Linked DNA regions of Tamandua tetradactyla. The main gene of each other region encodes a partner of the protein of the gene in region 2 in a complex. Links are inferred from orthologs where the notes say so. Each region holds a gene or a part of one and is shown on either strand. Other genes may lie near its edges.

Region 1 (3,747 bases), on a different chromosome or scaffold from region 2:
TGCTGTTTTTTAAATACTCCCAGGTAACCCATTAGATAATTAAAACAATGCACCTCTAGGGATAACATCTGACTCATCATCCCCAAACTTATATTCCTCATATTAGACAGTCTAACACCTATAAAAACGGATAAATGAGCCAAAATTTCTCTCCAAGGAACCTAAAGTGACATCATTTAAGACCTCGCAGGGGCTAGCAAACTTTTTCTGTAAAGAGCTGGACTGTGGCTTTTATAGGCCACAAACGGATTCTGTTGCATGTTCTTGGTTTTCCTTTTTGCATGTTTGTTTTTACAGCCCTTGAAATATATTTTAAAAATTCTCAATTTACAGGCTGTACAAAAATAGGCACAGGCCATAATTTGACAACCCCTGGACTACAGAATGACTGGAATTACTAAGGAAATAATGGAACATAGTTGGGGATGAGGGAGCTTCCAAAGAAAACTTGAATGGGGCATCTCATTTTGGGCAGTAAGCAGAAAATAACAGTCAACTGACTGGACCATGAGGTCAGAGGTTAGGGGGAGGGGCATTACCCGCTTCTGCTGCTCCAAGAGCTCATGTTCCTTCAGTGAATGATCTCCCTGCTTAAAAAAGAAAACAAGCTCATACCAGCACCGATACCCCGCAGGCCAGTCTGCCACAACTCGGCTTCCTAGGGTGCTCTACCAGCCTAAGGCCTATGTTCTAGTCCTTGGTCCAGAGCTTCCTGAAAGCTTCAGCCCCAGGATCCAGCTCTCTCTGGGGCTCTGCTCCCCCTTCAGGGGCCTGGTGAGGCCTAAGCATAGGCTTCCATCTACCCTACCTGCTTGGCACGCTCCTCTTGCTGCATCAGCAACGCTGCCTGCTGTTGTGCCAGCTTCAGCCGTTCCTCCTCTGAAAGTGCCACAGGCTCACCCACACGGAGGGGAGGTGGGGGCCCCAAGCTTGGTGGGTGGGGTCCAACTCCCATAGGAAAACCAAGGCCAAGGCCTGGTGGAGGTGGTGGGGGTGGCGGAGGAGGCTGCAGAGGAGGAAGCCCCATGGGTGGAGGTGGCATGGGAATCCCAGAGAGCTGTGGAGAAAATACAACCATAAAGTAGAAAGCATTTATCTATTTATTCTGCAAATATGTTTTGGGGACGTATTATGAAACAGGTACTGGGATTCTTTCATTCAAGAAGAGAATGCACCATAGCAATATCAAGAAAAGAGACTATTAACTATGGACCATTAACTGAAGAAAGCTATCAACTCTCTCCCCACAAAATGATCATGAGTGCAGATCTTGCATAATTTCAGGAGATTCAGGGATACTTCTAAAGGCTATCTAGGGACTCCTCATGCCACACAGAGGTCAATGGACCCCAGGTCAGAGCCACTGCTTTAGAGAAAAAGAAGCAAAATCAGAAAAAAACCTGAATCAGAAGGAGCATAGATGTTACAAGGAATTAAATTTACAGTGTACCAGGGCACCCAGCAAACCCTAATAATTGCAGGGAGTATGCAATCAATTCAGAGAGTTGGCTTTAAATGTCTCACTGAATGACATGGGAATTATCCCCTTGGAGGGCATGGAAAAGGATAATTACTTCCAGGAAGGGAGCATCATGTCAGGCTTCCAGGTATTTACGCTGAGTCCTGAACTACAGGTAGAATTTGGAGGAGCTGACATTGAGAAAGGAGGCAAATATCAGGACCAAGAAAGAAATGAAGAGCTCCCAGTATGTCCTCACAATATCTCCCTGCCCAATCTGATAGCTGCAAACCCAGTACACCACATTCGAGAGGAGGGCGGAGCCTGCGAAGGACCTTATAACACGAAACAACCTCCTCACCTGTGCTGACATGGGAGGGGGCGCAGTTTTATCCCCATCTTCCCCTCTTAGAACCGACCGATTCAGCACTATGCCAGTCTGCAAAAGCGAAAAGGAGGTCAATGTAGGTGAGTCCAAGAGGAACTGTTACGGTAAAAAACGTTCCGTCCCATTCACTGAACACTATTTATCCAGTGTTTGTCTGCCAGAACTCAGGCTGGGCAATGGGGAAGACCCACATGCACAGAAACGATTAAGACAGAGCAGGAAAAGGCAAGAGAGGCAAAGAGAGCAAGCCCCCGATGTCCTAAGGTGCATAAAGAACGAAAATCGAGCCATGAATGGACTTAAAGTCCTTCTCGAGAAACGGCCTATCCTGCCATTCCGCGGCGAGCACTTACCTGGCGGGTGTAACTCTGCAATCGCTCCACCAGCTCCTCGCGACTCCCTGCAGGGCAAAGTTATAGGATCAGTGAGGCAGGTCAGGCCGGAGCAGGCCAGTCTGACCCGGTCCAGGCCCAGAGACCAGCCTTGTCCCGCGGTCCCCAGGTCTCCCGGGTAACCAAGCTCCGCTTCCTCGTAGTTCCACGCGAGTCCCTTTTGGCTTCCAACGCTCCTCACCCTGGATCGGAGCTCCGATCTCTGCCAGCTTCGCCTGAAGCTCTTGGGCAGCCCAAGCGCCATAGTGCCCTGGGGGTGGCGGCGGCGGCAGCTGCAAGTCCCCTTTGGGAGGTTCGGGATGGTCGGCCGCCATCTTAGCCGCACGAAGGCGCGCAACCAATCCGGAAGCTCGAGCCAGCCTCCGGGCCCAATTCCCGGAACTTCCGGCAACGCCATACGCTACGTCCTCTCGCGGTTGGGAGTACTTTCTGATCGAGGCCCGCCCCCAATTGCGTCCCCGTAGACGCGCCCTTTCTCCAATGGTCCTTACATAGCGAGTCGCGAAGCCTTCTGGGAGTTGTAGTACTCAAGCCACTATATATGAGAGCCAGCGACGCCGCTGGGAAACACCCGGGCCGAAGCGTGGGTGGTGCTGCGGTGGGAGCGCCTCCTGGCCCGAGGGAGTGCTTTCAACGTCTCCCTGCTGAGCCTTCCGACCCGACTCCCTTGATCGGGCAGTCCCGAGAGATTCATCACCAATGCGGCCACGCGTTACGGCCGCTAAGCCGGAGGTGGAAGCCGATGCCTGCGATAACACAGGGTCTGATTGTCTGCCCGCCCGCCCACGGCCCAGGCATGGATGAATGGACTGAAAGGGGATCGGAGCCGGGAGAGGAGCAGGCCCGACCGGGCCGAGCTCCAGCTGCCGACCTGGGGGCGGGGAGGGCGACACTACAGCCCCCCTTTCCACCTTCCAGGTCGACTCAGATGTTGTCCGCTCCGCTAAGTCTTCTCCCACTTCCCTTTCCTTTGGAGCTCCCAAAGCACTTTCAAACCTCCACTACTCAAGTCTGTATTCTGCCCTTTCTCCTCACCTCCACCCCATCTCCAGGAATGTGAGCAGAGAGCTGATCTATTTACTGTGTCGCAGTACCTGGCACTGAAATGGCGCTCAGTAAATGAAAAAGACTAAATGGAACAATCTTTCTGGCGTCAAGAGTTGCAAATTCTTCGTCTCGAAAATGAACTCAGGGACTTTTCTTCCTTAAGCCTCGCCAGCCCTCTCCCAAGTGGCCTCTGCGCCGTGAGGCAGGGATGGGCAGGGGCTCTTTGCTGAAACTAGCTCCTCACCCTCACTGACAGCCAGGCTCACTGTGTGTGTGTGTTTGTGTGTGTGTGTGTTTGTGTGTGTGTGTGTGTGTGTGTGTGTGTGTCCGTCCGCGCGCTCGCGCGTGTTGGGTGAGAAAGAGAGAGCCCTAGTTCAGTTGTCTCATTTATCGGCCCCCTCCACCCCACATCCTTCCAATCTCTCTAGTTGGCGCCATTTCACCGACTGCCCCCAACAGAC
Region 2 (3,747 bases):
AAATAGATTACCCCTTCTTCCTTATCTCTACCAAAGAAACAACCATCTTCCCAGTTATACAGTCATGAAAGCTCAGAATAATTTCTGATTCATCCCTATCTTTTCTGTAGCTGTGCCACACCTCACCCCCCCACACACACTCCAGATATTCCTTTGGGGAGTGTGCAAGGTGCTTAGCAGGTTCTAATGACAGCACAATCCCTGCTCCCTATGATTTTTCAATATAGTGGGTGGACATTGTTACAAACCAGAAAGTGGTAATCACTATGGACAGAAAACAGAATACAATAGGATCATAAGGAAAAGGAACACTAATTTGGGAGACATAGAGTGGAAAAGGTATTTCATGAAAGTTGGCCTCTGGGCTGGATCCTAAAGGTGTAATGGACATTGGGAATAAATCATCTTTGTGTTAGCTGGGTCCTCTAAGAGGGGGATCTTGAGACAGAATTAGGAACATAGGCGTTTATTGAGGGTAATGCCCATGAAAGATAAAAAGGAGTATAAAGTAAGATTGGGCAGGGTAAGTCTATACCATGACAGATCAGACACAATCTTGACTAACCAAGTAGGGAACTCTGGAGTAAAGATTACTCCCACGTTGGGAAGAAATGGCCAGGACCTAGATTCCCAGCTGTATTCAATCGCTGGCTGGGAGCTCCCAGAAAGAGCATGACTTAAAAGCTGATAAGGATCTTGAAAGCACTATAGTTGCAGGCTGTCCACTAGCTACGTTCCTTGCAGCTAAATGGCAAGTTTTTTCTTAAGGGACATCTGAGTATCACGCCTCCATTTTCTTTAACCTTTCCTTTAGTATGCTTTATGGTGAGGTCTGGAGAAAATACCCTATTTTGGCTATTATACCTCATTTGGGTGCTTTCGGTGGAATTCCTTTATTTGCTTAAGTCTGTTGTAGAATTCAGCAAATTCATTGGGTCCTGAAATGGCATTGAGCTCCTCCTTTCGTAACCTGCAATTTCAGGAAAAATCGAAAGGGCATAGAGCACAAAGTCAGTCTTTTAACCTCAGTTCCTCAGAAGTACTAACTCCTGGATTGGCTATGACTATCACTTACCCATCCTTATCGTCATACAAATCCCTCAGGTTCCCGCTGACCTCCATATACCTCTGAAAGGCAAATACAAACCCATTAAAACGAAGTAACTTGTACAACTGTAGAGTTAAGCAATCAACAAGGGTTCTCTAGTTACAGCCCAGGGAAACCTCAGGAGGTATAATGTTAAACGTTCTGGTATTTTCTAGTACCTATCAGTAGCCCAGGTTTTGGTTAGTTTTTAAAACAGGCTGATCTGAAGATTACTTAAACGATAGGATTTGAGGGGTAGCAGCTCCCTCTCTACATCTTACAGATGCCTAACTTTTCCTATAAAAGATTTATCCCCTTTGGCTAAGCAAAAGTTTCCACCTGAGGCCCTCAAAGATTTTCAGTATTTCAACAAGCTTGAATGAGCACACAGGTTAACTAAACAATACAGCTTTTTTTCTAGATCCAAAACATATTAACTAGGTATGGTATAGAGTCACAATAACGTCTCCAAAATTTGGGGGATCAAATCTGTTTCAGAATTCGGATTTTTTTAAAGAGTTCAGGAAGAGACTACAAATTATGTAACATCCCAAAGCAACCTGGAATGTTAACAGATATTAATAGGCACATTAATAGCTCTGTGATGAAATTTCTGCACATTTATTAAGTGGGATAAATAAAGGCTATAACAAGTCTCTCATCTTGTTTAGGTCAGGTTTTGCTGTTAAACGATTTACACACATACACCCAAAACTAGATTTGAGAATTTGGATTAAGGCCTGGGGGCCTGAAACACTGATCACCTCCTACAAATGAGAAGCTCTGATTGCCTTTTATTCCTTTCTAGACAGATTTCAAAGATACACAAAATAGCACAGCATTATAAACTTCTATTTACTCATCAGCCAGCTTCAATAATTACTGGGCAAATGCAGTTTGGTAGCAAATTTAGAACACAATAGTCTGAGAGGAAAACATACTGAGCTTTCTCTTTTGGAGGGATTGGATAATATCCTCTTTGCTAGAATCGCTGACTCCCCATAGCTACTATTTGCACATTCAAGAGACACAGGACGCTATAAGTAGTGTCTTTCTTAATAATGAAAAAATGACTAGGTTTCCTTCTCAGAGAAGAAAATAAAGACAGTTCAGTATCTTCGGGTTAGGGAGTTGAGTGGACATCTACTCCAACCAAGCAACCCTCAACCAGTCAATCCGGCTACCTCTGGCCAGGGCTCAAAGTGAGATCCCGCACCCCGCATCCTCTCTTCCCACCATTCCCGGTGCCCTCCCGACTCAAAGAAAACCGGACAGCGGAGCACTCACATCCTGCATGGCTCGTGTGCGGTGGTCAGAATTAATCTGGTCCCGGAGCTGAAATTAAACACAGACGCCGTTAGTTTCCGTCCTGGAATCGGAAAAGCCGCCCCAGGGCTAAATTTACCCGCCCAGGTCTGAGTTGCAGAACTACAGAGGCCTCTAAGACGCTAGGCCCATGCAGGCGGTTACCAAAGCCGGAGCTTGGAGAGGGAGCCCCGCGCCGGGGCAGGGGGAGGGGCGCGAGAGGGTCTGGGGGTCAAAGAAAGCTCTCGGAGGCTAAACACTGGGCTAGGAGCTTAACCTCAGATGTAGCCCCTGCTCTGGCCCCACTCACCGTGGACTTCTTAGTAAGCATCTCTTTAGCCATGACGTCCATGAGCCGTTCCTTCTCCTCATGGTATCGCCGCTGCTGCTCCAGTATCGTCTCCATCTTCCCCTCCGCGATAGATCTCAATTCAGTCCACCGACGCGGCCGGAAGCAACTACTGCCGCCGCGCGCGCTTGCATCCCCACGCTGCTCATCCGGCTGCACCAAAGTTCCGCACGTGCCGGAAGTGTCTCGGGGAAGTGAGCACCAGGAGTAGAGCCAGGCTGTGCTGTTGCGATGACTGCAGTGACCCCTGCTGGTCATGAGTGTGGTGGAGCGAAGTGGGAGGTTTGCAGACGCCTTTAGGGGGCGTTCGGAAATCCAGGAACCTGAGGTTAAACCGTGGACTTCCTGGGGCTTCCCCGGGTTGGCGTGGCCTAGGACACCTGCAAGGAAGGAGACTGTTCTGAAGAATAGTTGAAGGGCACGGGATGGGGGTTGGGAATCCGGAAGCTGGGTCTCTAGTTTTCAGTGTGACCTTTCATAACGTTTTACCCTCTCTGGACCTCAGCGTCATGTCAACAAAACGGGGACGATAGCTTTTTTCTTTTTTTTCTTAGGAAGGAAACAGAAAATGACAAGTGCTGGAGAGGATGTGGAGAAAGAGGCAAACTTATCCACTGTTGGTGGGAGTGTAAAATGGTACAACCGCTCTGTAAGGCAGTTTGGCAGTTCCTCAGGAAGCTAAGTATGAGATGGCCATATGATCCAGCAATCCCATTGCTAGGTATCTATTCAGAGGAACTGAAGGCAATGACACAAATGGACATTTGTACATTGATGTTTATAGCAGTATTATTTACGATTGCCAACGGATGAAAGCAGCCCAAATGTCGGTCAACAGTCGAGTGGCTAAACAAGGTGTGGTGTAATCATACTATAGAGTATTACACAGCTGTAAAACAGAATAAAATCATGAAGCATGTAGCTGTGGATGAACCTTGAGGATATTATGCTAAGTGAAATTAGCCAGAAACAAAAGGACAAAAACTGTATGGGCTCACCAGTTTGA
Region 3 (3,747 bases), on a different chromosome or scaffold from region 2:
TTCACATGAAACTTAACCCCGCAAAGGATAGCTCAAGCCTACTTAAAATTTAGGCCTAAGAGTCACCCCCAAGAGAGTCTCTTTTGTTGCTCAGATGTGGCCCCTTTCTCCAGCCAACACAACGAGCAGTCTCACCACCCTAACCCTCTCTATGTGGGACGTGACTCCCAGGGGTGTGGACCTTCCTGGCAACGTGGGACAGAGATCTTGGAATGACTGGAGACTCAGCATCAAGGGATTAAGAAAAACCCTAGAACGAGCTCAGATTTAGCATCAAGGGATTGAGAAAACCTTCTCCACCAAAAGGGGGAAGAGGGAAATGAGACAAAGTGTCAATGGCTGAGAGATTCCAAACAGATTGGAGAGGTTATCCTGGAGGTTATTCTTATGCATCAAGTAGATATCATCTTGTTATTCAAGATGTAATGGAGAGGCTGGAGGGAACTGCCTGAAAATGTAGAGCTGTGTTCCAGTAGCCATGCTTCTTGAGGATGATTAAATAATGATACAGCTGTCACAATGGGACTGTGTGATTGTGAAAACCTTGTGTCTGATGTTCCTTTTATCTACCTTGTCAACAAAGGAGTAGAACATATGGAATAAAAATAAATAATAGGGGGAATAAATGCTAAAATAAATTTAGTTTAAATGCTAGTGATCAACGAAAGCAAGGGGTAAGGGGTATGGTAGGTATAATCTTTTTTATTTTCTTTCCTGTGTTCGTTTTATTTCTTTTTCTATTGTCTTTTTAGTTCTTTTTCTGAATTAATGCAAATGTTCTAAGAAATGAATATGCAACTAAGTGATGATATTGTGAATTACTGATTATGTATGTTGTTTTATTTTATTTTTAAATTAATAAATAAATTTTAAAAAAAAGAAAACCAGGCAAACAGGAAAACAAGGATTGATGAAAAAGTAATGGTAGACGAAAGAAGGCACGCCTTACAACGCATTAGCGACGAACCACACACATTTATAGTACTAGAAAATACAACTAAGGGTTTGACTAAAAGTTGCAATGTAATCGCAAGGTTTGGACGCAGATGTTGCAGCGCGTGGGAGAAGTCAGTTCTCACCAACTACGGTGGAAAAGCAGCAGACTGTGACTAAAACTGGTAAGTCCAGAAAGAAGTTAATTTATTTACCAAGACAGAGAACAGGGAGAACGGCTTTAAAAACATGAAAAGCGGCCTCTGAGGCCTGAGACTGCATGAAGGAGTAGGGGTTATAGTGCCCGATGAAAATACGGTAATTTCCTTAAATCTAGCACACTTTTCCGCAGAGTTCCTCCCAGGTTTTCCACCTGCCCTCAGGGACCACAGATCGGCGGTCACGGGCCATCAAACAATGACTACCTGGGCGATCAGGTAACCTCTGGGCTCATATGCAAAACGGGCCCGCTAACATTTCCTGGGTGCCCTCGGAAGGTATTCCACGCTCTCCCTGACACGACCTGATTTAATTTAGTAGCGGCAGTGATCGCCCACACCCCTCGTCTTACAGAGACGGAAACTGAGGTTCCCAGACGCGAAGCGACACCCCCTCCCCAAGGTCCCAAAGTCCGACAGCTAAAAGGCAAGTTTTGTCTCAGCAGAGGGCTCGCCACACCGCGGCCCCGCCGGGAGGGGACAGGGTCTGGGGCGTGTTGGCCTCGCCCCTCCTGGGGGCGGGACCCGGCCTCAGGCCCGCACAGTGAGCCCGAGGAAGACCGCTAGGCCGCTCGCTCCTCAGCTCGCGGCCTCCAGCCGCGCGGCCCGTCGCAGATGCCCCCTCCCACACGCGGAACCCTACAAGGAAGCCCAGGACCCAGAGCCCACCACCATCATCCACGCCGCTCCTCACCAGCGTCCGAGGGAGCACAAGCCGTCCCCGCTTTCAGTGGTCGCCACGACCTCACCCGCGCGCGCGTCGTAGGCTAAGAAAGCATTTCCGGGGGCAAGTGGGGCGGGTCCTGCCACGTGCGCATGCCCGGCTCGCCCGGCGGCTCGGGCGAACCGCTCGGAAAGCGCGGGAAGAGGGCGGGGCTGGGAGGCCTGGCTGGCAGCCGCAGTGCGCGTGCGCACAACTTTCAACGCCCTCCGGATTTGCTCCGCGTCGCGTGGGGGTCAGCCCTCCGGGCAGAGCCCGCTGAGAGTCCTTCCCGCCCGTACTCTCCGCTTTAGTGAAGGATGCTAGCAATCGTGGGGTGGACCTGATTCTGTTTTCACCCCAGGTCCAGTTTATTCTGTGACCTTGTAACGACCGTCCAAGTCCCCTATGCACCCCTCGCCTGCGGACCCCATCGCTACACTCAGGTAATCGACAGAGTGGCCGGCCAGGGAGTGCGCAGGCGCACTGGCTGTGGCAGCACTTCCGGTACTGTGCGTTGAGACCTTTTTGGCGCTGGCCGCAGGCGACGGACCGGGGTCCAGCGTTCTCCCTTCCGCGGCGCCATGCGCTACAACGAGAAGGAGCTGCAGGCGCTGTCGCGGCAGCCGGCCGAAATGGCGGCCGAGCTGGGCATGCGGGGCCCCAAGAAGGGCAGCGGTGAGCGGGGCCCGAGAAACTGGGGCGTTCGGCTTTCCGCATTTCGGGGGACCCGATTAACTGGATGGCTGGGCGCGGGGCTGGCCCCTGGGCCGCCCGCCCTGAGCCCGCTCTGTGCCCACAGTGGTGAAGCGACGGCTGGTGAAGCTAGTGGTAAATTTCCTCTTCTATTTCCGGACGGACGAAGCCGAGGTAGGGGCGCCGTCCGCGGAAAGGGGGAGGTCCCAGGAAGGCGGGAGCAGAAAGGGTGCGCGGGGTACAGTCTCTCGCCCCTCGGCCTCTTCACTCCCCCAGATCGTCTGACCCAGGGGTGCCGTGGTTTGCTGGTCGAAAACCATCTGTCTGCATCCTTTCCACCTGGAACCTGCCGCTCGGCTGGGGAGGGAGCCGAGGTCAGGGGAGGTACAAGCCTCCTGTGAAGTGGGGGCCCAGGTCCTGGCCTGCTCTCCGCATCTGCTCCTCTGTCTCCTCCAGCCCATCGGAGCCCTGTTATTGGAGCACTGCAGAGTCGCCAAGGAAGAGCCCAGCGTCTTCTCCATCAGTGAGTGGGGCCAGGGGACAAGGACTCCCCACCATCCCCTCCCCAGCCTGACACCACCTCTGTCCCGACACAAAGTCCTTTTTCTCAAGGTCGGCTCTCTGAGGCGCAGCCTCTCCCTTCAGGCTGGGCCTCCCCCCAGACTTTGCTCTCTCCCGAGGGCCCCAGGCTGCGGTCACTGGGGCTGATTGCATGCACCCAACCATCCTGGAGACTTCGTAGCAGCCTCCCAGAACTCCATTTGGACCTTGTCATTCTTTAGGGTTAAGCATTGCCCTCTTGGGGCGCTTGGGTGGTTATCTCCCTCAGTGTTTGGGTTTGTGCTGCCTCCTGAGAGGATTCTCCCCAGGCCATCTTCTTGAGGGTCTCACATGTGCAGGGACAGATGGAGTCTGGTACAGAAATACCCAGCCTAGTGTGTTTAGGGTTGGGGTTGGGTGTGGGCAGGAAAACTGCTGGAGGTGGGGACGTTGGAGCTGGCCTTCCTGGCGGATGAAGGCCCACGATCAGGGCCGTGGTGCTAGCGTCCAGTGTTACCAGTGCCCCAAAGGAAGCCTTTGTGTTCTGTTCATATCTTGAGAGTTAATGTGGAGAGCCCAGCAGTGTCAGGAAGGCCCAGGCTGGCTGTGGCATGTCATCCCAGGCCTTGCAACTTGGTTCACCTTGAGAACTGCCACGGG

Evidence for each region.
Region 1: SF3A3 (region 2) and SF3B2 share a complex: the UniProt entries of both Homo sapiens proteins name them as parts of the 17S U2 SnRNP complex. The link is inferred for Tamandua tetradactyla from reciprocal best matches to the Homo sapiens genes SF3A3 and SF3B2.
Region 3: SF3A3 (region 2) and SF3A2 share a complex: the UniProt entries of both Homo sapiens proteins name them as parts of the SF3A subcomplex of the 17S U2 SnRNP complex. The link is inferred for Tamandua tetradactyla from reciprocal best matches to the Homo sapiens genes SF3A3 and SF3A2.

Annotation. Positions count from the first base shown.
Region 1 is NC_135335.1:8,381,041-8,384,787, forward strand, and holds the start of SF3B2 (splicing factor 3B subunit 2), read right to left. Parts: upstream 2,596-3,747; 5' UTR 2,554-2,595; coding exon 2,421-2,553; intron 2,248-2,420; coding exon 2,201-2,247; intron 1,899-2,200; coding exon 1,821-1,898; intron 1,058-1,820; coding exon 809-1,057; intron 591-808; coding exon 540-590; intron 1-539. UniProt on the Homo sapiens protein: Component of the 17S U2 SnRNP complex of the spliceosome, a large ribonucleoprotein complex that removes introns from transcribed pre-mRNAs.
Region 2 is NC_135328.1:187,345,672-187,349,418, reverse strand, and holds the start of SF3A3 (splicing factor 3A subunit 3), read right to left. Parts: upstream 2,878-3,747; 5' UTR 2,799-2,877; coding exon 2,703-2,798; intron 2,423-2,702; coding exon 2,375-2,422; intron 1,129-2,374; coding exon 1,076-1,128; intron 971-1,075; coding exon 865-970; intron 1-864. UniProt on the Homo sapiens protein: Component of the 17S U2 SnRNP complex of the spliceosome, a large ribonucleoprotein complex that removes introns from transcribed pre-mRNAs.
Region 3 is NC_135337.1:80,640,444-80,644,190, forward strand, and holds the start of SF3A2 (splicing factor 3A subunit 2), read right to left. Parts: upstream 2,336-3,747; 5' UTR 1,846-2,335; intron 1-1,845. Other genes in the region: PLEKHJ1 (pleckstrin homology domain-containing family J member 1), read left to right, coding at 2,436-2,529, 2,654-2,721, 3,004-3,070. UniProt on the Homo sapiens protein: Component of the 17S U2 SnRNP complex of the spliceosome, a large ribonucleoprotein complex that removes introns from transcribed pre-mRNAs.